4 linked regions of the Neodiprion lecontei genome follow. The protein of the gene in region 3 binds, or shares a complex with, the protein of the main gene of each other region. Links are inferred from orthologs where the notes say so. Each region holds a gene or a part of one and is shown on either strand. Other genes may lie near its edges.

Evidence for each region.
Region 1: GATOR complex protein WDR59 (region 3) and GATOR complex protein NPRL3 share a complex: the UniProt entries of both Drosophila melanogaster proteins name them as parts of the GATOR complex. The link is inferred for Neodiprion lecontei from reciprocal best matches to the Drosophila melanogaster genes Wdr59 and Nprl3.
Region 2: GATOR complex protein WDR59 (region 3) and protein SEC13 homolog share a complex: the UniProt entries of both Drosophila melanogaster proteins name them as parts of the GATOR complex. The link is inferred for Neodiprion lecontei from reciprocal best matches to the Drosophila melanogaster genes Wdr59 and Sec13.
Region 4: GATOR complex protein WDR59 (region 3) and GATOR complex protein MIOS share a complex: the UniProt entries of both Drosophila melanogaster proteins name them as parts of the GATOR complex. The link is inferred for Neodiprion lecontei from reciprocal best matches to the Drosophila melanogaster genes Wdr59 and mio.

What each region holds. Positions count from the first base shown.
Region 1 is NC_060263.1:27,315,859-27,322,121, forward strand, and holds GATOR complex protein NPRL3, read right to left. Parts: upstream 4,255-6,263; 5' UTR 3,976-4,254; coding exon 3,814-3,975; intron 3,176-3,813; coding exon 2,904-3,175; intron 2,734-2,903; coding exon 2,638-2,733; intron 2,552-2,637; coding exon 2,333-2,551; intron 2,154-2,332; coding exon 1,979-2,153; intron 1,771-1,978; coding exon 1,612-1,770; intron 1,340-1,611; coding exon 1,163-1,339; intron 1,081-1,162; coding exon 706-1,080; 3' UTR 510-705; downstream 1-509. Other genes in the region: vacuolar protein sorting-associated protein 13C, read left to right, coding at 5,942-6,082, 6,193-6,263. UniProt on the Drosophila melanogaster protein: An essential component of the GATOR subcomplex GATOR1 which functions as an inhibitor of the amino acid-sensing branch of the TORC1 signaling pathway.
Region 2 is NC_060266.1:1,254,107-1,257,791, forward strand, and holds protein SEC13 homolog, read right to left. Parts: upstream 2,013-3,685; 5' UTR 1,859-2,012; coding exon 1,617-1,858; intron 1,526-1,616; coding exon 1,138-1,525; intron 853-1,137; coding exon 544-852; 3' UTR 501-543; downstream 1-500. Other genes in the region: ribosomal protein S6 kinase delta-1, read right to left, coding at 2,307-2,414, 2,522-2,617, 2,678-3,685. UniProt on the Drosophila melanogaster protein: Functions as a component of the nuclear pore complex (NPC) and the COPII coat. At the endoplasmic reticulum, SEC13 is involved in the biogenesis of COPII-coated vesicles.
Region 3 is NC_060264.1:23,548,056-23,555,922, reverse strand, and holds the start of GATOR complex protein WDR59, read right to left. Parts: upstream 6,034-7,867; 5' UTR 6,009-6,033; coding exon 5,883-6,008; intron 5,758-5,882; coding exon 5,708-5,757; intron 5,639-5,707; coding exon 5,503-5,638; intron 5,448-5,502; coding exon 5,234-5,447; intron 5,159-5,233; coding exon 5,025-5,158; intron 4,814-5,024; coding exon 4,664-4,813; intron 4,572-4,663; coding exon 4,412-4,571; intron 4,321-4,411; coding exon 4,241-4,320; intron 4,104-4,240; coding exon 4,037-4,103; intron 3,954-4,036; coding exon 3,745-3,953; intron 3,666-3,744; coding exon 3,402-3,665; intron 3,325-3,401; coding exon 3,171-3,324; intron 3,099-3,170; coding exon 2,902-3,098; intron 2,813-2,901; coding exon 2,679-2,812; intron 2,606-2,678; coding exon 2,408-2,605; intron 2,349-2,407; coding exon 2,222-2,348; intron 1,779-2,221; coding exon 1,749-1,778; intron 1,223-1,748; coding exon of another isoform or gene 1,214-1,222; exon of another isoform or gene 1,168-1,213; intron 667-1,167; coding exon 506-666; and 4 more. Other genes in the region: coiled-coil domain-containing protein 39, read right to left, coding at 7,257-7,381, 7,471-7,771, 7,856-7,867. UniProt on the Drosophila melanogaster protein: A component of the GATOR complex, which functions as a regulator of the amino acid-sensing branch of the mTORC1 signaling pathway.
Region 4 is NC_060261.1:40,160,262-40,167,526, reverse strand, and holds GATOR complex protein MIOS, read right to left. Parts: upstream 5,269-7,265; 5' UTR 4,899-5,268; coding exon 4,778-4,898; intron 4,674-4,777; coding exon 4,476-4,673; intron 4,353-4,475; coding exon 4,062-4,352; intron 3,944-4,061; coding exon 3,716-3,943; intron 3,615-3,715; coding exon 3,453-3,614; intron 3,248-3,452; coding exon 3,066-3,247; intron 2,945-3,065; coding exon 2,811-2,944; intron 2,738-2,810; coding exon 2,624-2,737; intron 2,441-2,623; coding exon 2,074-2,440; intron 1,923-2,073; coding exon 1,784-1,922; intron 1,705-1,783; coding exon 1,566-1,704; intron 1,476-1,565; coding exon 1,268-1,475; intron 1,182-1,267; coding exon 973-1,181; intron 937-972; exon of another isoform or gene 790-936; coding exon 702-789; 3' UTR 518-701; downstream 1-517. Other genes in the region: replication protein A 14 kDa subunit, read left to right, coding at 19-205, 377-465; ras-related protein Ral-a, read left to right, coding at 6,503-6,607. UniProt on the Drosophila melanogaster protein: An essential component of the GATOR subcomplex GATOR2 which functions as an activator of the amino acid-sensing branch of the mTORC1 signaling pathway.

The sequences.
Region 1 (6,263 bases), on a different chromosome or scaffold from region 3:
CGACAGGTTATCTTACCTGCGGGAGTTGTGCGCGTGGCAGGCAATGAGACCCGGCATATCTTTGGGTAAATGACGTCACTACTGCAGATCAGCGGCACAAGATTATGAATTCTGGCGCGAAACATTCCTCAAAACCTGCGCACTGTCCATATTAATATTGTAATTATCTTTATAAAATTTCGCCATTTGGATTGATTCTCAGTGAAGATAGAAAAAAAAAAAAAAAAAATGTGACTGTAAGAACTGCTACTTCGATTTAGCAGTGAAAGCATTTGGCACGTTGGAATTGAACATTCGTGCTCAATTATTCGGTCAGTGGTGCATTGTTACAACTAAATTCCTACCGTTATTTTGATATCGTTATCTTCCGTTTACGTTACTTGAAGTCTAAAGCGTTTGACGTAAAATGAGATATGATATGAGATGGAACTGAACTTCAAAGTTAATAATAAAGTAACTTTATGTCGTGCGTTAAATCGTGAGGTATTTTAAATAGTAATTAACACGTATAATTTGAAAGTAGCACTTATATTAAAACACTCTTAGCATTGTACCTGTTCAAACTGAAGGTAAAACGCATACGGCATAAATGTGTCAAAATAAATATGAATTTTTTTACGGAAGATACAACATTACCAGCCAGTCTCTGCAAGGTATAATAAACCTCCGCATTTTTCATCTCGATTAACAATGACCAAAATTTGATTAGCAATCGAAATGAGAATAGAAAAGTGCAATTGCAGGATCCTCTGTTTCACAAGTTATGAGAACGTCTCTGAATTTGTCCAATATTTGTAACAATTGCGATCTTCGAATATTTTCAAGATACATAATTTCCTCGAGATGATGACCGCCTTTTAGATACCCAAGTCTACATAATTTATCTAGTAAAATCATATCCTCCGAAGGAATTGAGAAACCATCTGATTGATACTCAAAAATTCCACTTGTCCCACGTAAGGCAGGAGAAGCCCCGGTATCGCTTTCTCCTGGTGTACCGGCAGATGCGTCAGTGCCTTCCCAGCTGTGTTGATTTTTCATAGACTCGTTTGGCCCAGAATCATCTTCTGTTATGCTTGTCTGCAAGATAGAATCGAATACTCATCTCTTTATTTCGCAAGTGATTCAGGTGTTTATCACTTTTTCAAAGTTCATATATTACCACTTTTTGGCAACCATGCAGCGTTGGCATATATTGAATGTAAGTATGCAGCTGAAGTAACAAATGATTTCTCAATAACCAAATTATTATTTTCACTAATTGAGTCTGTTGTTGTGGTTGGCTCAGAGGGTTCAATTTTTGACTAATGGATGTCGGTAAAGAAAAATCACTGATCACCTATGAACAAACAGAAATATTCAAGTTTGTTATGTATGACAGAGTAAATAACAGAAAATTATACGTGTCCAAAAGCTAGTTTAAGAAGCAAAGGTCAATGTTTTATCGCTTACATGCAGAATCTGTTTCTTTTCGTTAAATCTAACTCGTCTTAATAATGGAGATGCGAAAGGATATCTCAATAAGATTTTTAGAAACTTCGGAATCCTCTACCGTAAATACTTTTTTTTTGCATTACCATTACATGTTTGTAATGTATTCTGTGACAATACCTGTAGTAGACACAATCCTGGAAATTGTTCTGAAAATGCATCCAATAATTGAGCTGTGAGGACAGCATCTGGAGCTACGACATATACGTTGCTTTCACACAAGGGATAGATAATAGTAGCCTTTGCCCAATACACTAAATGTCCAGTCAGTTGGAATACCTTGGCAAAGGTGATACTTGTTAGTAATTAAAAAAACTACTATGTAAACATTATCAAACCCTGAATGTAGTGAAAAAGAAATCCCATTGAATATGCACCTAATCCTCAATATTCATTCAATTGTTTCAGTAATTGATACAGTATTATTGAGAAATATTTTTGAAAAAAGGCAGAAGTATTTTCAATCAAAATTATCATTATGGCTCACCTGTGCCAAGCTGAGATCTGAATCTGCAGCTAATGTTTGAAGACTTTTGAGTGGGCTGTACATTTGTATAAGACGTACTAGCGCTGGAGCCGAGTCAGCAGGAAGCGAATCTAACAAATCTAAAGGCTCTATCAAAAGTAGTAAGCCATGATACGGTCGTAAACTTTCGAGGCATCTGAAGTAAATAATTTCATTTAAAACGCGAATGATTTGATTATTAGTAGTACTGCGATGTCACAGAATTTAGTTATCATAATTTATCGTAATATGATAATAATTCACAATCATTCATTGCTGAAAATTATTTACAAATTATTTGCAGAGAATTAAATGATGATGATCATAATGAATTACCTGTCAATTATTTCTGGGTTCATAATGAATCCTTTTTTGTGAGATTGATGAACTTTTTGAGGTAGACAAAAGCTAACTTGTATCCATTTATTAACCATGATATTTATTACCCCTGATGTACTCAGGCTATTGAAAACGGACTTCAAATCTCGAGCAAGAGAACTTCTTTGCAATATAAGTTCATAAGGGGATTCATCAGATTCACTTTCCTCTTCTGATCTGGATCGTATATTCAATTATAACATCCGTGTACAAATTACATCTAAGAGTATGACAATTTATAAAAAGTGGAAGTAGAAAATTACCGAGCAGCTACTTCGTCATGAGTGGAAACCATCACTTTTATTTCGTCAGTAAGAAATCCGCATCTCTTTTCCTCATGTCTCAAAGCTATTCCCAGTCTGTATAATGGAACATCCAAAAAATATGATGGTTTTTTAAAATAAAAGAAATATATAAGCTATTAACTACTGGTGATGAATCATGTTCAAAATCGAATTGATAAGTCACTAAGGTAATTGTAGGTTTCAGTAGATGTTTGAAGATACAAATAATTTATCCTCAAAGTTACCTTTTACTGAGATCGTAATAACACTTAACAACAGAGTGATTCGCTTGAGCCTGCAAAGCGAATACTATGTTGAAGAGCATGGATGAATTGACATCTTTTAGTCCCCTAGAAGGAAGCAATGTAGGGTGTCCAACAAAGCGTACATTGTTGACTTTTAGTTCGAACTTTAATTCACAAAGCTCGGGTTTAACAGCAAAGAGGGTGGACAAAACTTCGTCAGATAAGCCAGTAAGATTGCCATTGCTTATATTGGATGTTGGAAATGGTGTCGACTGAAAATTATTTAAATAATGAAAAATAAACATGCGCCAGATAATAATTATACTCCACATTGATTACGGTCATTTTGTTAATTACTCCTACCAAATTTACAGCTTCATAAAAAATTGATCAATTGTTAAATATTTTTGCAACATCATATGTAATGCGATCAAAGTAATGTGAAACGAAATAAGAATTCCACTTGCTCACTCAACAAATAAAAATGGTAAAGTTAAGGTAAAAATCAAGGCAATTAAAGAGCATGCGAACATACATTTGAGTAAGCACTGCTTAATACAGTAAAGAAGGGGCATTGGTGTTTAAACAAGAGTACAGTATGGAAGAATTTTCATCAAAAAGTAAGAAAAGTGAGAAAAAAAAGATAGAAATAAAAATATAGTAATACTTGAATTAATAGGAGGTAAATAAGGGACAATGACCAAATAAAATCTTTATAGTTTTGTATAACTCCTCTTACATTGTAGACATATCGTATGAAACATACTGTATGAAAATTGATTATAATTTACATGAAAATAAAGCAACAGAGTCGTGGTCTTATCAAAGATGATATTGGTATAAGACTTGTTTGCGATAGTTTGGGATTTTCCAGTGCAGTAATATTAAAGAATAAATATGAGGAATATACTTGTAATAAATCCTCACTGATTGTTAACGCATAAGGATTCTTCCTCTTTGTAAACTGTTTGGAATCTCTCTCAAGATTAGCGGCGTGAGGATATCTGAATAACATTCGATCGCCCTTACTGTCACTCTTCACTAGAATAACGCTTAATGGATTAATCTCCATTTCCTTGTTTCTCGATGAGCTTATGAGTGAACTCAAAAAGCTCAATCCAACTAACCAATGCTCCGAGATGCCAGAGAAGTTATGAGAGATTGGTTACAGACTCTTGGTATTATCTTAAAATCATAACTTAAATCAGGAATCGGGTTACATGGCAAAAACGCGTATAGACCACTTGCAAGGTTTCTTGAATTTGAATTCGACAAATAAAAACTAACGATCCAAATTTTCTGTCATTATGTCAAACCTCGGATTGACGAGAGACTGTTACCAACCCAATAATACTTACCTAACATAACCCTAACCCTAACCTAACTTTAACTCTAATACAACGAGCTGTCATGCCTTCCACGCGCTGTTTAACGACGCACTTTCTATATCGCAGACAAGGATGAAAATAAAATCAATACTTCAAGTAACAATTCCCGAGGTCCGCTGCGCTTTACATCTTTCAAACCATCCTGGACGAGGTGTGAAATTTGTTAGGTTATGGCCTGGGGCTGGGAAGAATTACTTTATTTCTAGTTTAATTCACGCAGGTAGGTGAAAATTACTGCATCGGGCAATTGGATAAATGCACAGTGGCCTGCGTTCGGTCGTTCAGAACTTAGAAAATGAAATCAAATAATTATATCCGCAATTCGATTCGCAAATCGTATCAACCAATGAAACGGTCTGCTTTGACAGCATTTGACAGCTTACTGAAGCAAGGTATCAGATGCTTTCTGTTTCTGCTAACACTTTGCGAATATTAACTGGAGAAGAATTCAGATAATTCGTAAGTTTGAATAATACATATGCGAATCTGATATGCTGACACTGCGATTACTCATCTTACATTCAATACTTTATCAATCCTCTTCTTCAACATTTGAATAATAATTGTAAATGAGAAACCATCATTCTGTAATTCAAGACTTCTATGTCAACTCATCACTATCTATCTTGTATCATGTTTTAGACATATTATCCAACAATTAGTATAGCATACTATGTTTAGAAGCTGGTGTCATAAACTTTCAATTCTTCTAAGATATTCATGATTAAGTATTCTTAGTAACTGACGACGCAGAACGAAAATTGCAAAATTTTATACCTTCGCAAAAATCCACCCTATACCGATGATTACAGTAAATTACAATAAAGTAATGTTATCATTCATTTTCAAATCAATAGATCTAATATTTTTATTGTTATTATACCAATTAAAAGTGTTCGTTTTTTGTTTTTAATATTTATAAGTTGTTGAAATTATTCGGTTCCTAATTGTGTTTCAAAAAACAACTAAAAGTATGGTACAAGATGGAAAAACGAAGTCACATGAATTTTTGCACGACATTATAACTAAAATAAAAGTAGATCAATATTTCGTATCAGACTTTTTCATTTTATATGTTACACGACACTGCTCAATATATTAATAACTCTATTACGCCTTACAGTTCGTTCAACATCGTTATTTGCAAGAACCATTATGAAAAATCTAAAAATATTCATTACTTCTATGCCTGCTTACCAATTTAATAAGTTGACTCAATTCTTGGAAATGTGCAAGACGATTGTTAGAAATCTATGACCGGCATTGGAATGTGAGAGAAGAAAACTTTGTATAATAGATTTCAGAATAATTGTCCCAATTGTTCATGCATTATCAACATTAAATTCAGTTTCAAAATACCATCTTTAAGAAATGACCTTTGCTGTAATAAAAGTAGGTTACTTAAAGAGTGACTTTATTTTTAAACATTCTGAACATAAACATGAATGTTGGTAATGATTTGCAAAGTGTTCATAAACCTATAACACATTATGGTGGATAGTAAAAGTGTTGAAATGGTAAAGCATTCAAGTTTGATATCGTACATGCATTTTGCTAAGGTATTCTAGAGCCCTAGAGTTTACAGATTCAAAGTAGAAAACGATTTCTATTTTAGATTAACGGGACCATATATTGAAACGAATTTTCAACATGTTTGAAGGAGCAGTTGCAGCACTTCTGAACCGTTTTCTAGGAAATTATGTCGAAGATCTAGATACCGAAAATTTCAATGTAGGCATATTTTCTGGTGATGCATACCTTACAGATTTGAAGCTGAAAACAGAAGCCCTTGTACGTAGAGACAGATATTTATACTTCAATAAAATATTCTTGTGAATATTTTAACAAACATATCTGTTTAGCTATTACTTCGTTAAAGACTCGCAAATTTTTAATTTTAGTATCAACTTGGGCTTCCAATAAAAATAAAAATCGGATTAATTGGAAAAATTAGTCTGAAGATACCTTGGAC
Region 2 (3,685 bases), on a different chromosome or scaffold from region 3:
TTTTTTCACAATTTTCTACAATCTCCAATCGGCAGCAGACACATATTGCCCGTTTCTTTATCTTTTTTTCCCCCCAATGTGCGACACGTCTTTGTTCGTATTGCTTTTGCTGCTCGCACCTGTGTACAAATGTTTTTTTTATTTGTGGTTGTTTTTACATTTTGAAAAACGATCGATTTCTGTCAAATTTGTAAATATCGATTGTCTGTTTACTGCAAGTTATAAATTAAATATTGGGTGTCCGCCAAAATTGCAGAGAAATCGCAAACTAATGTTCGATTTGCATCTGCGTTTTACGAGTGTAAATCAAGGATTTATTAAATTATTGGAAGAATCGATTGAAAAAAAAATTTAATAAACTTTTTAAAAAAGTTCACCGCCTATAGTACAGTTTGTAGTTATAAAGTCAAGTTTCGTTTTTTTTTTTTTTTTTTTTTCCCCTTTGCACAAAAAGCGAAAGAAAAAGAGAGGAAGAGGAAAATACGTTTTATACACAATAATAATGATAATCTGATTTTTCTCTTCAGTTCTATTATGCTAATTTCACAATGCTCGTTGTTCTGGATTGTTCAAATTTCCCTGACCCTTATTGAGCTCCGAAATGCATGCCCATTGGCCTTCGGAATTTTCACGCCACAGAGATACTTTGTTGTCACCTCCGCTCACTGCCAGAATCCCACCAGTCAGAGACCAACTGACGTTCCATATAACGTCCTCAAACACGTTCAGGACAGTCGACGTCCAACTTGTGCAATCTGTCGACGTCCACACCACCACCCTGCGATCCTGAGAACAGGAAGCCAGTGCCGCTCTCGGTGGTCCAACTGCTGGCGCCCAGGCCACATCTCTGACCTAATTTAATGTTGCAAGGAAAAGAAAATGGCTGGTGAATCCACTAATTTTATCTACAGCATCTTTGTTTTGCTAATGCTGAATAATTTCTGATATGAATTCAACTCTTTTCTATTGATCTTACATGATTTCAAATCGATCACGATTGCGAATAGGTGATTAGCCTCTGGACACAAATGTTTCACTGGGAATAGAAAAAGTAATGAAAATTCTTTTCTTGCCCTAGACAAAGGGAAGAGACCAGATGTCCAAATTTGGTGATACTTGAAACGAGTTATTACTTACCCAGTCGCTGTGAGCCTCGAGTTTATTTTCCTCGATCCATCTTTCGTTATCCTCCCTCCATATTTTGACCAAATTATCGCATCCTCCAGTCGCAAGTCGCTTAACAGGTCCACTGCGAGGGTGAGGCGCGGTAGCGTCGTATCCAGGTTCAATGGCTGGGCACCAACTGACCGCATTGCACCCGATGGTGTGTGCGTTTGGAATTTTCTGGGCATCCCAGGTGTCACCATTGTTAGAAAGTATGGAGATCGAGCCGTCAGAGCTGCCGCATGCTAATATTAGTCCGAACTCGTGCGGCGCCCATGCAACGGAGTTCACAGACGAGTCGTGGGACGCATGTTCATATATCTTGGTCCACTCACCAAGCTCCTTCCAAATTATGACTTTCCTAACGCGAGATAAGTACAGTTTAGATTTTGCTTATTTTTGCATAAGGTCGGAAAACCGTGGAGCAAAAGTATTGAGATCACCAAATTTACCTGTCGTAACTGCAAGATGCCAAGATGTTGCCGAACTTCGGATGAGCCCAGGCAACTTGCCAAACAGGACCGACGTGGCCTTTCAAATCTGCAGCGAGGGTTTGCGTGCCGTTCTTCAGATCGAATATTTTCACCGAATTGTCACTTGAGCAGGTAGCTAACCTCAATCCGTAATAGTCCATTTCGGCATCGTGTATCATGTCCTCGTGGCCCGTGTCCACCGTGTTTAGAACGGAGACCATTTTCAATTATCTCTTCGTTTACCCGCAACGAGTTATTATTTATATTGTTTCTTTCACTATTTTTTGTTGTCGCAAATTGTCCGTTGCAGCGATTGAAGAATAACCACACAACTGATCCAACTGACATACGTGGAATCTGATGAAGTGGACACGCGCTAAAAGGCACCAACATCAGGCAACGAAAAGCATCAGAGTCACCACGAAGTGCTAGGGATTTTTCGTAAAAAGACAACACGTGCCCCACGTGCCTTTCCATTTGTTATGTTATTTTATCTATCGGCGGGATGGTTCAAAATTTGAAGTAGAATACATATTATATACTTTTAATTATGTCGATTGTGATAAATATTATTTTGTTCGTTATTTTTGAACTAGTTATACACTGACTGGAGATTGACAAATACATGATATGGCGTACTGTAGAAGGAAAAAAATAGGTATATTACGACTAAGTAAAACTAGAGTTAGCCCAGGCGGTCCAATCAATACCAGAGAAGAATGAAGACTCTTTGATTTCGGGAATAGATAAACGTTCCTCTGGCTTGTATCGCAATACCTGAACAAGGAGAGTAAGACAATCATATACAAAGGAATTCATTGACTTGAATGCACTGCTTCATTTATTTTGAGAACTAATTAAGTATTTAAACTCTTCAAACTCACATTAGAGATCAATGATTTCACGTTCGCTGATAGTTCTTCAGGAATGTTGAGAATAGAATGCGAGTGATATGGTCCAGGATGTTTAGTTTGGAATTTCTGAAAACAGAAAACATAAACTCAACGAATATCAATTTAAACTATGATAATTGGACATACAATTCCAGTGAAGAGCTCGTAGAGCAGGACTCCGTAGCTCCAAACATCGGCAGCAGTGGAGGGTGGAATTGTTGGTGAGAAGATACAAAGTTCAGGGGCGGAGTAGGGCTTCTTTAGCTGCAAGAGTTCGAAGCTTCGTTTTGGGACAATGTAAGTCATCGCGACATGGCCTCCGCTGCCTAATAATATATTATCTGGTTTTAAATTTCCGACTATGACACCCTGCTGGTGCAGAGATTCCAGTGCCAGGAGTATTTCAGCTGCCCAATATCGGATGGTTCCTTCGGGAAGCTTCCAGAGTTCGTCATCCATTTCAATACCGCTGTCCTCGTTAACGATCGATTGCAATTGGCCAGAATTCATAGTTTCCTCAATCACTCTATGAGAGCCATTGAGTTTTGACGATTCTTTCACTAACTCGTCCTCAACTTTGAAGTTCTTAACAAAATTAGACTTAGAATTTGCCAAAGCTTCGTCTGATCTTTCATTTTTTGCTTTCAGATCTATATTTCCAGATCCAATACCGTGAACACCATCTATGCTGTTACCTTGACTGAGTTTATCGATTTCTGTTACATTTAGGGCCTGAAACTCCCCACCGTGAGCTAAATTTCGAGAATGATCCGGCTTATCTTCACTGTACAGTAAAGTGCCAGATTCATTCAACCTGCTGGCTATTGAATTGCTTTTCTTCAGAGTGGCGTCAACCAATCGCAGAAGTTCTTGGGCTTTAGCGAGTAAGTCCGTGGTTTGAAATGTTTTAACAGGCGCAGCATTGGCTCCAAATTTTGCCTCTAATCTTCTGAGCGATTCATCAGGATCGATCGTCTCCTCTTCTTGCGGATCGAGATTTTCTCTGCTGCCACAAGCTCTGTCTTTCGAAACCTCAGCAAGTCCGTCAATTTTCGGTAACAGTCTTTCCTTAACTCCTAGCTTCTTCTTTTCCAGACTCGACTGAATAATAGCGTCGCAACTCACTGACCTTGTATGCCCTTTCTCTCTCCAATT
Region 3 (7,867 bases):
CGTGTCCGCAAACTACACACACGTTGCTGGGTCCTGAAATATCAATGAGTACTGTGTTTAGGTGATTTTTTCATAGAATATCAGAGTGAATGTCACAACTGAAAGCTGTACAATTAATTCTGTACCTCTAACGGATATGTGACATATGGCACATTGAAATGCCAACTGCCTGCAATTGTTGCACTGTGGACCACGACTAGATTTATTGCAGATATAACATTCAATTTGAAACTCTACAGCCTTGTGGGAATCGATCGGTGGTACACTGACGTGTTTTAGTACCTGTGCCCTGGCATCAAGGAGCCTCCAACTATGCAGGACTTCAGCATATGCTTTTTTATAGCTATCGTAGAGGGTGGTGTTTTTTTCATCAAGAAACCTGAAAGAGAGAAGTACGTGCTAGCTTTCGAATGACGATGTTTCACCCTTGTCCCAAAGTGGGAGAAATTTCGATTGTTTTCTTTCTCTACAAGACATTACTTCTTTAATAATTGAAAATTGTCACCTAATGTTTCGGACGGGATCACCCAATGTTTCTTGAACGAATTTAAGGTCGTCGAGAGATTCAGACCATGAGTTTGACCTATGTTGTTTGAGATTTTGGAAATTCCATCCCTCAAGCGTCGTATCTGCAGGATGTATTGTGTGATACGGTGAACCGCCAGGCTAAAATTGTCATGTTTGAGCGTTAATTGAATGACGAGTAGAAGATTTATTATACACACAGGTATAATACTTATTCATTTATTACAGCGAAGGGTAAGAGAAAATTAACGAGTGCCACAGCTGCGAACACGCAACAAATTATTGGCAAGCTTCAAGCTCTATGAAATATTATCAATTGGTGTATTAATTATTCTTTGGTGCATGCAAACTCATGTATCATATTTTAACGAAATGCATGTATGCATGTCTGTACCTTTATTTTGGCGGAATTTCAAAAACATCATAGGCCCTTTTTTTTCAGCAACCTATAGTACTCTACAAGCCTATCGAATATGCGCTACCAAACTCTGACGTACATATGCATCAAAATACCGAATTATCATAGTGTAACAACCCGTCCCATTGCCGTTACACTGCTTCAAAGTAACTATGCTTGCTAGGTGGGGGGTGCCTTAGTGGCTATTACCATGTTATGTAGCGCCAATGTACATGCATACATACATTGAGGCTGGTAGCAGCGATGTAGCAGTCAATCATCAATGTTACATCAGTATACCTTGCAATATTAGGAATAAAACATTATTGCTATTACGTAATGCGTGCCACATGTTACGTAAATGTCATATCAGAGCTACAAACCTTTGAGTGGGGCATAACTTGTTACACATGAGTTACAAGTTATGTCACGGTAACGCTTCTTGTTACATCATGTTTCACCGTCGATATATAATTGTCATGAAATTTTTTTGGGATATTTGCCGAGAGAAATGGAAACTACATCTAGAATGTATCTACGTACCCAAATAAAAGCAGAAAACTTAGTTTAATCGAAGCTCTAAGTCGACGAATTCGGCAAGGCATAGATTCTTTGCATTAGCTTAATATTTGCTAAAACACACGCGCACGCACACACACAGGTGAAAACTTTAATCAGTCACAACATACTGTAAGCCCTGGTGTGATAACCGAAGCGGAAGATATGAATTTTTATTTCCGAGAACCAAAGAAGAGTAATTTGCAAACCAAAAGCTGTCGTTGATACAAATCTATAGATACGCTAAAGAATAATATTTATACTTTACCTTCTGCCACCATTTCCCAGTGGAAAGCCTCTACAACAGAGATAATAAAATGTCAGTTGGATAAGCAATGCATGCTCGGCAGACAAATTGTTATACACTACGCAAAAGCAAAGGGACAGAGGAATCAAGAAAGCACCGCAAACAGCAGCAAGGGGAGCAGCAATAGTAGCGGCATTGGCAATCTGGTAGGGCAGATCAAATCAAAATTAAAGAAAAGAAAACGACAGAGAATGCCTGTCTAAGTGAAAATACAAAATCTTCATTTATAGATTTTGATAGCCATTTTCTTTGTTAGCAATGCACAAAGCATGCATCATAAAAATAGCAATGACAATAATAATAATAAAAACAACCGTAATAATTATAATGGCGACGATGATAATTTACACAGTAGTTACCTGCCAATTGAATTTTTCATCACAAGTCGTTGTATAGTCTACTTGGCACTTAAAACAATATTGTGTCTTACTTACACTGACGTTTACAGACTTGCTCACTGCACGTCCCTGCCCAACATCTTGATTTTCAGAACGATAAGTAAATGTGCAGCTCAGCATGCCTGCCATTTGTATATCAGACTGGCTGGCGTAATGCTGTATACTGAAAAGCGAATAAAGTTGATCATCAAGGGTCTGCCTAATCTTGAATCCTGAACTCACAGAGAATGGATCAAGTTTTGACCAAATGGATGCAAGGGCCACGGAGTCTCGATATCGTTTGAGGAGAGGTTGGAGGGCATCGGCTGCGATATGACGAGTGCGGCTAGGCACCAAGCTTGAACAAGGTCCGGTCTTTCAAGCAAAGCTGCCACTCCGGCATTATACTGACACATTCCAGGAATGTCTGTAATATTGATGCTACAGTGGGGGTGTTGCTTTATTCTTATTGTTTCGTGATTCAAATACTCAATACAAATGATAAAAAACTCACATGTACTTTTCAGCGAGTTCTTTGTTAACAAAGAACAATGGGGAGGCGTCATAGATTGTAACCATCGGATGATTTTTATTAGGTGTTTTCGAGTGGAGCCTGGTCGATGGGTGCAAACTACGTCTGGACCCTCTCTATTTGCAGATGAGACGTCACGAGAGAAACAGTTCCAAGTTACTGGCAAAGTTTTTATGTAAGTATATACAAATGATGACAAGTTTACCCGTTCGTGAAAGTAGAATGAGCTTATAGATATGTTGTCAGCTGCATTCGGTTGTGAATAAGCCGGATATACGTGGGGAAAATGACTACTGCTACCGACTCCCGATCCTAACGCCGAGAGAGCTCGCGGCGTTACGCTTTCCGGCTTTATGGACGGCCTTCTGGCGTACGGCGTTCGGCCAAAACAAACTAGTATTCCTAGAAAAGATTGGTGTAGATTAAAATACGGGTTTAACCCCTTGTTTTTACCCTGGCTTGAGAACTCCTTACCTACGCAGCAAAATTTAGCACCTGAAGTCCGCGGAAAAGGAATGTAGGTATCCTGGTAGTTTGGAAATATGGCACCGGTCGTATTGAGAAAGTTAGCACTATGTGGCATCCTGTATCCCAGATGTTTACCCTCAGTCTCGTCGCTGACGCACATCTGTTTAGGCAGAATGAAATTGATCATCTTCAAATGATAAAAATCGAGAACTCGACAACCAAATCAAAAGGAAATACCTGTTCCAAAGTTGTGATCAGCTGTCTTAAACAGGGCTCTAAGCAGGATCGATTCTTCCTAACTCGTTGTTGAGCGGTCTGCTTCAGTACCTTCGAGAGCTTTGCCATCGCTGTATTGTCTATGGTTGTTCCAGGACAGAATTGAAAGGTCGGTGACGCATTGTATGGGTAATTACCAGGAAAGTTTACTTTCAATATAACATTGTAATTTTTATTTGACGCTGTGACCGTACAGCTTCGTTGCTCTGCATCCATAGCGTTCACCTGAGATGCGAAACACAGAATACATTACAAGTGAGTCTGGAAATAATCGAAACGATGCAAAAATCACGAGTAAATTTACCTCAATGTTTGGAATGTTCACATTGATCAATGAAAATTCTTGCTGTAACGTTTTTGGCTGAGTCGGCGATAAAACATCTTTGTCGCTTGTTGAGTAAGTGAGCGACTCTATGCCCATTTTACCTCCGTCAATTTTTGACATGACAAAATTCATTTCTCTGTCGGTCGGTGTATCTTGAAGCTCGAGCTGTTGCATAGAACGTAACGTCCCTGAGAATTTTATTAGCCAGTCATTGCAAATACAATAGCGATTCTCCTCATAATTTCGTACTTGAAGCTTGCGATACACTCACTCAGGTTATTGTCTTCTGTGTACGGAGTATAGACAGATGTTCCATCATCCAAATCGTGTCCGCATAGCTAAAACGTGCAAGGATTGATTTTATTTGTGTTATAAGTAATTTTTAGTAGCAACATCGTCGTTTCATGAGTCTTAGATTTTGTGAATTCTCAATACAGAGTTATGAACTGAATTATATGATGATTATAGTGATTACCTTTTGTAGAAATGGATCGATTTTGAATATTCTCAGGCATTGATCTTTGGACCAAGTTATCAATTCAAAGTCATTCGGTGCTGCGATAGGAAAATAAGTTATTGTTGCCCTTTGACATCATTTAATACGGCGCAATCAAATATTTTACTGCAAAAACCCCTCTTGGAATACCTTTTTTCTGATGCCTCCACTGAAACTCTAGCACAACGTCAGTGTGCCCTATAAACGTGTAAATTGGAGCTGTAAGATTCGAGGTGTTCCACAGTAGCAGACTATTTTCCCCTCGCCTGAGCTGTGGCACAACTATTGTAACCAGACCTTCCCCAAATGGCTACAAGCAGACGTAAATGAGATTTTGAAAATCTTTCACGACTTTCTTGCAATTATTTGATACAGTTAGCAATACAGATGATTAAATTTTACCGTGTATCTGGCTCTCCACACAGGTGCACTTGTCGTCAAAATGCTTTCTGCTCTTCGTGGATTACTGACATCAAATATTTTCACTGTACAGTCCTGACTAGAAGTCGCCAATTGATTTTGTTGAAAAGGACACCAGTCCAGGCCATGTATCTTGAAAGACAAGAGGCCACTTATCCCAAATGTACCAAGTCAGTAAATAATACGAAGATTGTTCAAACGATTGTGAAAATTCACAACATTCGGACGTTCGTGCTATACATTTTAAACCAAGCACCACACAAGTTACAGTTTCCCCTGTTCAATGTCCTCGGTTTATAAGCATTCACACAAAAATAATTGGGAAAGAAAACCAAACTAATACCTTAGTTAAATGAGCAGCTATGTACTGCATCGGACTATTCCCTTTCCTCTGGTCCCATATTTTGATGTCGCCATCATGCGCAGTGGCCACAATGTGTGGGGACAGACAGTTCCATCTGACCTGAGATGCTCCGGCTAAAATGAGATTTTTCATCAAACAACTATTATGTAACAATTGTTGAAACATAAAAACAAAATTGGGACTTTTACCAACAGCAGATAGCGACAAGCAGGGCCTACGCTGATCTCTAATGTCCCAAATGTGTATGAATGTGTCTATGCTGCACGAGGCGAGAATGTCAGGCTCAGTGGGATGCCAGTTCAAGTCACTAACAACACGCGTATGTGCTCTGAGGCTATGCGTCGTTGTGAGATCACGTCCATCTCCACCAACAAAATTGAGTATTTCGACTCTGTTGTTACTCTGTAGAAAGAAAACAATGAGCCTCTCCTTATTTATCGATGCTTTTTCTACTTACGGATATAGCGCAAAGGTGACAATTCTGAGAGTTGGGATTCCATTCGGCAGAGCCAACTTCGTACTTGCTCTGACGTTGGAATTTTCGCAGGGTGTCCGTGCCTTCGTCCAGGTGCTTGACGGCAAAGCATCTTCGCCTGCAGAGCCAATGAATCGGTATATTTGAGAGGCTTTATAGGAATCTGGTCGAAAGCATTGAAACTCACCCGGCCAGAAGAACGAAGCTCCCGGTTGTGTCAACCGCCATAGTATTGGCCTGGTGCATGTGGAGAAAGCTAATTATTTGAGGTTTGGGGCGAAGCTCGATTACAAAGATCTTGAGCAACCGTGGTTAGTTTGAGTTAGTTTTTTAGTGGGGGCGACGCGAGTCGCTTGGCTTACCTGCAAATCCCGGTGCTCGGCGACCACATAATCGCTACCCCAACGTTTTGACATTTTCAGAAATGACAGGGGACCTCGACATCGTTTGATGAAATTTGAGGTTATAATGAATCGTTGTGTACGCATGTAAATATTTAAACTTGTGACAGAGTGCAGCACTATCTGATCGGCATGACAGAATCCCTGTGTAATAGGATGAATTAGGCTCGATTGGTATTGGATTGGTACAGTTTGCGGGTGTCATTTTACGTTACAATCAAAGCAAAAAACAAATATAATTACATTTCGTTCTTTTTTAAATAATCATAACGTACACTTCCCAATTTAATTATTTTGGTTTTGAACATTTTAGAATTACATATTTCAGACTTCAAGAACTCGCGGTCATCATTCAACATCCGTAGGGTTGGCAACATGCATCGCTATTCGATGAATTCAAAATCGAAAAAACAGTTGCCGGCAGAATTTCAAATGGCGACTATCCGTGACGGCTTCAACGCAGCGCTGTTTCGAATAAATTTCGTGAGCTTTTGGAACGAACAGCGGGCTTAGCATTGATCAGAATATACCTACATAAACCTTTATTCAAACGTGCGAATGAATATCAGGTTAACTGTCAGATGTGGCTGTGCAGGTATCGCGGATTCCATTTCCCCGAGTTCGGAAAGATTTGCTAATGGTAAATGTTCCGTGTACGTAATAATACGTCTATAATGGTGTGTAAATATCAGCCAGCAGTGACAAACATTGAGTTCATAATTCCCCGAGTGTCTGAGATGGTTAACCAAAAGGTTGGAATAATAAAGAGTGAGTCAAGTTTGTACGCGCGATATAAGTAATCCTTGCTGTGTTTGCGGTTTCGAGTAAGTTTGAAATTCTAACTGACAACGTGCATTTTTAGTGATTGAGAGTGGACACACCGGAGCAAATCACGGACGTCGTGGGAGCCAACTGCTATCAACAGTAACGTGAAATCTTATTTCCACTAAAATCATGCGCGTTAACAATCGCGGCAGCATCTTGCAAACCTTCCGATACTTAATTCTTTCCAATATCATTGTGATTTTTTCATCTCGACCCTGTTCCACGAGACAAAAAAAGTCAAGAAAGATCGATTCTTATCCAATATCAAAATCATAAAGCACAATGGAGCTACCAGCTATGAATAAAACTCAATGGTGAAAGTCTCAAGTATCTATACTAGACCCAGTTTCATGGAGGAGGAGGATAAAAGCGATGCACCAATATATTGTTAAATGCTGAAGTATATTTATTTATTTATTTTCAATTTAAGAATACATTTAAGAAGTTTGTAGTTCCACGGTGTATATATCGATAATTTTTATCTTTGATTATATAAAAATGAACGTTTGTTCATTTTTTTTTAGCTAGACCGGATTTATCACTCGACGAGGACTGAGTGCTACACTGAGAGATTGGTTTCTTAGGCCGTGTACTAGGGTCTGTGCACCTCTTAGCTTTTCCATGTAAACTTGTATCTGTAATTCAAATATTCTTAAACTACTAAGAAAGCAACGAATTGTACTGAAACAGGCGAATTAGATGAGAACGAAACGTGAAAACAAACCCTCAAAGTTTGCCTGTATATTGACAATGGATCCCAAACTCTCTGTCGATGGACACAATGTTGAAAACACATTTTCGCTCTTCCTCGTTGCCATTTTAGTCGATATGGAACTGGTGCTGCTGTGGCATCGACTAGATGTTGGTGATGGCTTGAGATAGTTGGTACAGGGCAGTACCATATTTTTGTCCGACAGTAATTTCTTTATATAGGGCTCAGCCTCGGCATGACGAACCGTGAGCTCAGTGATGTGTTGCAGGGCAAGACCGTTCTGCTCTTCAAGTTCACGAATTGCAATATCCTTCTGTGAAATTTTCAAAATATTGCATCGTCAGGTTTATGCGGCAGCTGTCTATACCTTTGAAACAAATCATCAGTCAATTCTTACCTCCTGCATCAG
Region 4 (7,265 bases), on a different chromosome or scaffold from region 3:
TGGTATCTCTTATTTCAGATAAATCCTAGCGGAACAAGTATGGAGTTAAAAACCAGTGACAATATGATTATCACAGTTTCTCTTTCGGAACCCATCGACAGCCACCTAGAAGGTTACATCGAAGTTCATGGTACTGTACAGTCTAAGTCATCCATCTCCTGTAGCAACTTCGTTCGCTTCCCAAATGAGATGACGGAAAAATTTGGTAAATTATCACAGATACATCATTTCTTAGAATCTACTCCTGATGTATGTCTATGCTATTGTATATGATTTTGCTTGACGTTATTTTATCTTTTGGCATTGAAAAAGTACAATGGAAATTCTCTAGTTGTTCATAACTTGAAAAAAAGAATATAAGTTGAAATTTTTTCAGACTCGGAACAGTACAATGACCTCATCTTACTCTCCAATACATTGGGTAGCAACAAATGGAAAATGTCTGAAACGAATACCATTTTATGAAATTTTAACTTTCTCACGCCCTACTAATATAAATTTTCTTTTTCGCTGTCAAGTATATCACCTTCAACACATTCGAATATTCTGACTTTTTTCAGTATACTTCGCTGAAGTTGAAGCTCAATCTTTAAGGCTTAGAAATGTTCTAAATGATAATTAAGTGAAAGAAATAAGTATAATTGGTGAACGAAATACTATTAAATAATCGTTTATTACAATTTAAAATTATGGTAGAAAGATTATACAACCCCAACTCCGATCTTGCAAGATGCATCTAGTGAAAAGCATCTGCACGTACAAGATGTTACAGGGCATTCCGAATGCTCTCTGAAATATAATTTGTCTGTTTAGAGCAATGCAAAAAAAACTTTCTCTCTAAAATTCCACTCCATGCATTTTGTTCGATGTAATAAATGATTGGAACCACGTGTGCCACTCACCGATTTTGATGAATAAACTGATTTTTTCAATGTACAACAATTCAACTAAATTTACATTGTAAAAATTCACCTAAACCAGTGCGTGATGTGGTTGGCGTGTCCACCATGTCTGCACGTTTGACACCAAGTAAACCAACTACTAAATTCCGTTAGTTTACTATCCTCCTCCCCTCTATTTGGTGTGGTCCCTCCTGTTTGTAAACCACTGGCTGTACCCATGTGCATGAGACAGATCGCACAGCGGGGTAGAGGTTTGCGACAGCTAGGACACGAAGACATCTACAAAGAAATCACAAGCCACGTTGGTTTTTGCAAGAAATTTACGGGGATTACACAAACACCGAAATTGTGAACTAAACTTTTACCTTCAATTTGTTGGACGTACTCCCAAGCCTGGCAAATGGTCCTCTAGCTCTGCTTAACCCCTGCATATAAGCCGAAATACTTTTGCCACAGAAATTGCAAGATATGTATACTTGTTGTGGAGGTTTCTCATTCGTTGAAGTTCGCATCGCTATATCAAAATGTGCTCTTTGATTCCACATTTTCCAAGCATCCAAAAGCGTTCTATAGCTGCAGAACAGTTGATTCTGGTTAGGCGATTCATTATTCTCTAACAAAAAGTCGTATTTTCTTCGTGTTACTAACTACAAGATAGACTACCTTGCAATCCAAACTTGAACTTGATTGTCCTGAAGCAATTTCGGTGACAGAGCTCGAATGGCGATTAGGCTGCAACTTTGGACATCACCAGTGATTTCTAAGTACCTATTTAGTAACTGTATCCCGTCTGAACTAGCCCCTGAAGTGGCACATACAGTTCAAAGCATTTTAAATTTAGTTTTTTGAAATTAATTTTCAACACTCGTTTAATTACTAACCAGTAATCAGAATCCCGGCTAAGTTACCGTCATCAGTTAATTTTTGAGTCAATTTTTTGAAATATTCATGTAATTTACTATCAGATAGAAACATGAGCGCAAATGCCACTCTATCCTCAACAGCCATTCCATTCTCATTCTGAAAACATAGATTAGTGACGATTATTACAGACGAATGAAACTTTTCCACATCTATCCATTTCATTTTTGCAGTGAGAAATATTCAGTAATTCATCATAAAAGATTCTACGGTCATCTAACAAATAAATCGTAAAAATTACTTTACTCACCAAAACATTTTCATACGAATCATTGTCAGCAGTGAGGAATGCAAATGTTGCTCTGAGATATGGGTCAGTTAATTGAGATCTAGATTTTAAGCAAAGCTCCCGCCACATACTATTTCTATCTTCAGAGAAGCCTGACAAAGCCATAGCAACGATATTTAAATTTGTTGCTAGTGACATTTTGTCCGCCCCTCTATTCAATATTTCTATGGCTTGCCTCAGTCCAAGATTGAAAACAGAGATGGCTGCAGCTCTAGGATAAGCTCCTTCCCTCTCTAGTCTTTCCAAAAATGCATTATTATAAGGCGCGTTCGTTTCTTTATCAAATCTCCAACCACACAATTGAAGTGCTTTATCTCGGTCAGGTGACCTGTGATAAACATTTATTTTTGGCAAATCAAAGATACTTATTGTTAGCATAATAGAGGATATTGTTCGATGAATCATTTCGTTGATAAAGAATATTTTTGTTTTTGTACTTCATAAGCTTAAAGTGTATCGAGCAAACACATAATTCATATTTTCGGAATTATGACACCTGGTTTTTCTTTACCTGTATATTTTAGCACTGTGATTTGACCCAATGTCAGCCCACAGTCGAAGCACTAATTCAGACTTAATGAAACCGTTAGTAGAAGTCGGCTGTCCATCAAGTTTCAGAACAGTTCTATGGAGAGTTACAAAGTAATTATCAGAGCATCTAACAGTACGGCTATAAGCCAAAGAAAATATCAGTTTACCTGACACCTGGGTGCTTATTGTCTGGACTACATATTGTTCCATCTTCCACTAAAGAACGACTCAAATACAGCCATTGCCATAAATTTTTCAGGGTCTCATTTTCAGCTAGCTCTCCATTTTGCGATAGTTCGGCCTTAGTGAAAAATATAATTAATTATTACAATTTTAAATATATCAGAATTAATTCTCTTAAATCGTTCTATATGAAGATTTGTAGTTTTAACAAGTCCATGTTACAATCATCCTATACTAACCAGAAGGCCGTAGTCTCGCATGGCTCGACTTTTCGTTTGCAGTGAAATATCGTTCAAGGATTTGTATATGTTGTCGGTGCTATAAATGTATTTGAATGATTTTGAAGCATGGTTCCATGCTAGATATGACTTAGTTGACCAGTTGATAGTAATTCTTTCAAAAACAGTGTAGTCCGTCAAACCTGAAATATGCAAATAACTTAGGAATAGTAATGATGTATAATTATAAGCTGCATTAGTTCTAAATCGAGCATTACACCTAGCTTGAAAGAAAACGAAACTGTACAATAGACTTATATTTGCGACCATGTATGGAAAATTCGTCCCCTCGTACTCCATGGTAATACGTAAGAGATACGAAAACAAAAAAAAATCAACTGCACACACCTTGTTGCGATATAGCCAACAATCTATTCGCGTGAGTCGGATGCCATGAAAAACTTGTAGGACTAGACCATGGTGGGGCGACAGTTCTTTCTAAAGCGCCTGGCTCTGTTTCCTCGCCGCCACCAAGCCCACAATGCTGTACATCGTGAAGATGCAAAGATCCTGTGTGGTCAATGATTAATGAAAATACATTTCACCATTAATGAACAAGTTGAACCACTTTGTTTCATTTAGCAATTTAAGTATGATAAATCTCACTGTACCAGAGTCTTTCTGCAGAGATCCCAGCAGGTTATGCCTTGAAGGACACCATAGTACTTTAGTCACTTGTCTGCTCTGCGGTAGGGTTAATATCGGTTTTTCAAAGTAACGAGTGTCCCATATAAGAATTTGATTTTCAATATGGGAAACTAAGTGATAATTGTTATGAGGATCTACTGACAAACTGTACACTGCTTTTGTTGGCGTTGAGTTCACTACCTTCACACAATCTAAACAGATGATTAATACAAAAAGATGTTTGAATCAACACAAATAAAAGGCAGAAGTTCCAATTATCCTTCATTGGCAATAAATTAATTAATAACCACCAGTACCATAATGTCTTACCTCGAAAATCAATAATCTTTAAATGTTTGTTATTGATTCCAACAACCAAACATCTTGGTTCGTTAAGGAACCAAGCGAGGGAATGTGCTGTTTCAGAGACTCCAGCCTCTGCTATAGGTCTGACAGATTCTGCCTGCATGTTACTGTGGTGATGCGATCCAGTTGGACTTTTCAGGACATCCCATAATAAAACGGAAGAATCCGTTCTGTGCTTATCCAAGCCACAAATTATTAAATTTGGGTCTACCGGATTCCATGCAACCGTATTGCATTGCCTTGCATGCCTCGGAGCTAGCAAAGTGATCACGGATATGATTAGAAGAAAAAAGCAAGCTAAAATATTATACCGTATAACTTAAAAAGAGAAGAAAATGAATACAACTTCCAGAACAATTATTGGTGAATTTCATTTACCAAGTTCCTTGCCAGTAAGTCCAAGAGAGTCGAATGCCGTTGGGCCAAAAGTAGTTAGTACAACTTTACCATTCGCTTGCCCAACTGCCAATAGAATGTCAGGCTCAGGTTGGGTGTAAATATCAATGCATTTAACATAGTGATGGTTTGTGTTCGTTGCCAATAAATGGGCGACTGTAGAGTCAGAGATCTTAATACCTGCAAATAATTCTTTTGTTAATAAAATATAAACACCCAACAAAGCGATATTCAAGAAATAACAACAATACGTGTTTTGTAATAGGCTTTGGGTCTCTACTCACAAGAAGGCCTGACACTATCTTTGATTTGGGTAACTTCGTATAAACATATTTCGGTGCCCCAAGTAATGAATTTATTTGGGTGTATCGATGACCACTGAACTTCTAACTTAACGCTACTCATTGTCAAATAATATTGTAGGTTAATTTAAAATCCGTGTACTACCAGGTCGTGTTGTTTACATTAGTAAAATATGTTTCTCCGATAATTAATGATGTAAAAACTAAACCTCTATCACCGGCGGAACATTTGTTTTCCGACAGTAAATTGTGGCGGCTATTGCACGTCCAAAATTGGTTCCATTATACGTTTGAACAATCCGATAAATAGCGTAAAAAAACAATCACAGTGAATCTACCGATTTCGGGACAACATAGCCTCAACGCAATTTGTTGCGCCGTATTTGTCCATTAGCGCATCCAAATAGCGATCTGCGCGTGCGCGAAACTATTTCGCAAGCGAAAAGTCGTTTTCGAAAAGTGATAATTCTGCTAGTGAAGAGCGGTGAAGAAAATTTGAATCAAATATTTTACTTCACCACAACATCTGAAAGTAGTTAACTGTGAGCATATTCTGTGGGATAATCAATAGCTTTGAATTTTGGGAAAGCACCGAAACTGAGTCGGTGACAGATCGAGTGACAGAAGCAGACGACTTTCAACACTCAGCAGCGCCATGTGTTGGCGCTTTAACGGCTCGATAAAGAACCAGCGCGTGACGGATCACGGATGCGAGCGTTCGATACGTCGGGCTTTGCGATTGACCGATTTTTGAAGGTAATTAATCATTTTTCTGTTGTTATTTTTGCAATCATACCCCCAAGAGATTCGCCGATTAAACCTGCATCCGTAAAATAACGGTACACTTTCATAAATTGGAAACATTGCCATATATGAAACACGAATATTGACTTCCTCTGGTAACTAGCACCCGACAGCGCGGCAACGCCTTTTGGTTATTCATCCTACGAATACGCCCTTAATCTTGATGTTTTATTGTGAGATCGAAGTAATTTCCAAGTCTGTACTAATTGGTGTTAAATGCGTAATAATGGTTTCAACAAATTTGATGCAGTAACTATTTTCAAACAACAATGTCACATTGTTACAACTAAACCTCATTACAATGTTTCATTTTTCCGTCAAGATTAAAGTCGATTAGATACGCGTATCAACAATGTATTATTTGTAAACTTTCTAATAGATGACCATTATTTAACAGTATGTCGTAATATCGTAGTTGTGGTTTGATTGTTTTTACATATATTCATAGTTAAATATTACACAATTGACAGCGATAAAATTGGTAAAATTTCCATTTACATCTCAGAGGAGAAGACAGGAAAATTTTCAGTGTCCTAATTAATCAACATTAAGAAAATTCCCATATTTTACATAAATGTAAAGTCTTTATTTATTAGTAGAAAAATTATCAAACACAACAACAATAATGAGTGTTGAGTGCATGCGAGAAACGTAAACATTTGTTCACCTTACTCCCATGGTTCCCATGCTGACAATAGGATTTCCATATCTTTCAGATCTCTATTATAGTAATGGAGGCGTAGTTCATGTAGCTTATAAAGTATTGAGTTTTTTCCTCCAGATAATGAGAAATTCTGTTCTACATGCGCGTAATCAATCAACAATTACATATTATTAAATGTGCAAATTTCAGTCATTTACATTCTGATATTAATATTTCAGATATAAATTCCACATACAAAAATGTCTAAAAAACCAGGCGCCACACAGGCCCTTCATAAGGTCATAATGGTAGGTAGCGGAGGTGTTGGAAAGTCCGCCCTGACTCTACAGTTCATGTACGACGAGGTATGTGGGTGATTTCTTCAGCCCCTTATCAGGCTATCATTCAAACTTTAATTAGATTTGAAGAAGTACAAGGTTCAGTTGATTTCAGTCATTTGGAACGAATGTATAACACTGTGTAATGTAAATAGGTTACTATTCAACTTAACAATCGAAAGAAACTGTTTTGTATCGATTTTTATAATGCCAAACATGAATACGTTGGCGGGAACTTTATCTGAAATGACATTTTTGAGAGTGTTGGTCAGCATAGAGTAACAAACACTTCGTTGCAGTCCTTTTCTGAATAACATGATAGTAGTACCAATCATGATAAGAAAACTTTCCATCCAGCAATGAACCCCAGCTTTCTGACGGCTGGGAAATAGTTTGGAATATTTTAAAGTAACAATCAAGTAGCTGTGGATATTGTTTACTTGATCTTTTAGGGTATAAATTTTGTTTTCACTTTCACTTTCCCATAATTTTGTGTTAAGAAAGGCCAAAAAAGGGTTGATAAATTTCTTTTAGACCTTATGATCCAATTTCCTCAAAATCATTGTGTGATTGTCAGTTGCTAATAACGAAGTTGAAACATAATCTATTTTTGTTATAGACTGCAAGTAATCAATAGTTTCACAGCACAAATGATCCTATCTTGTTGCACAATATAATTGTGGAA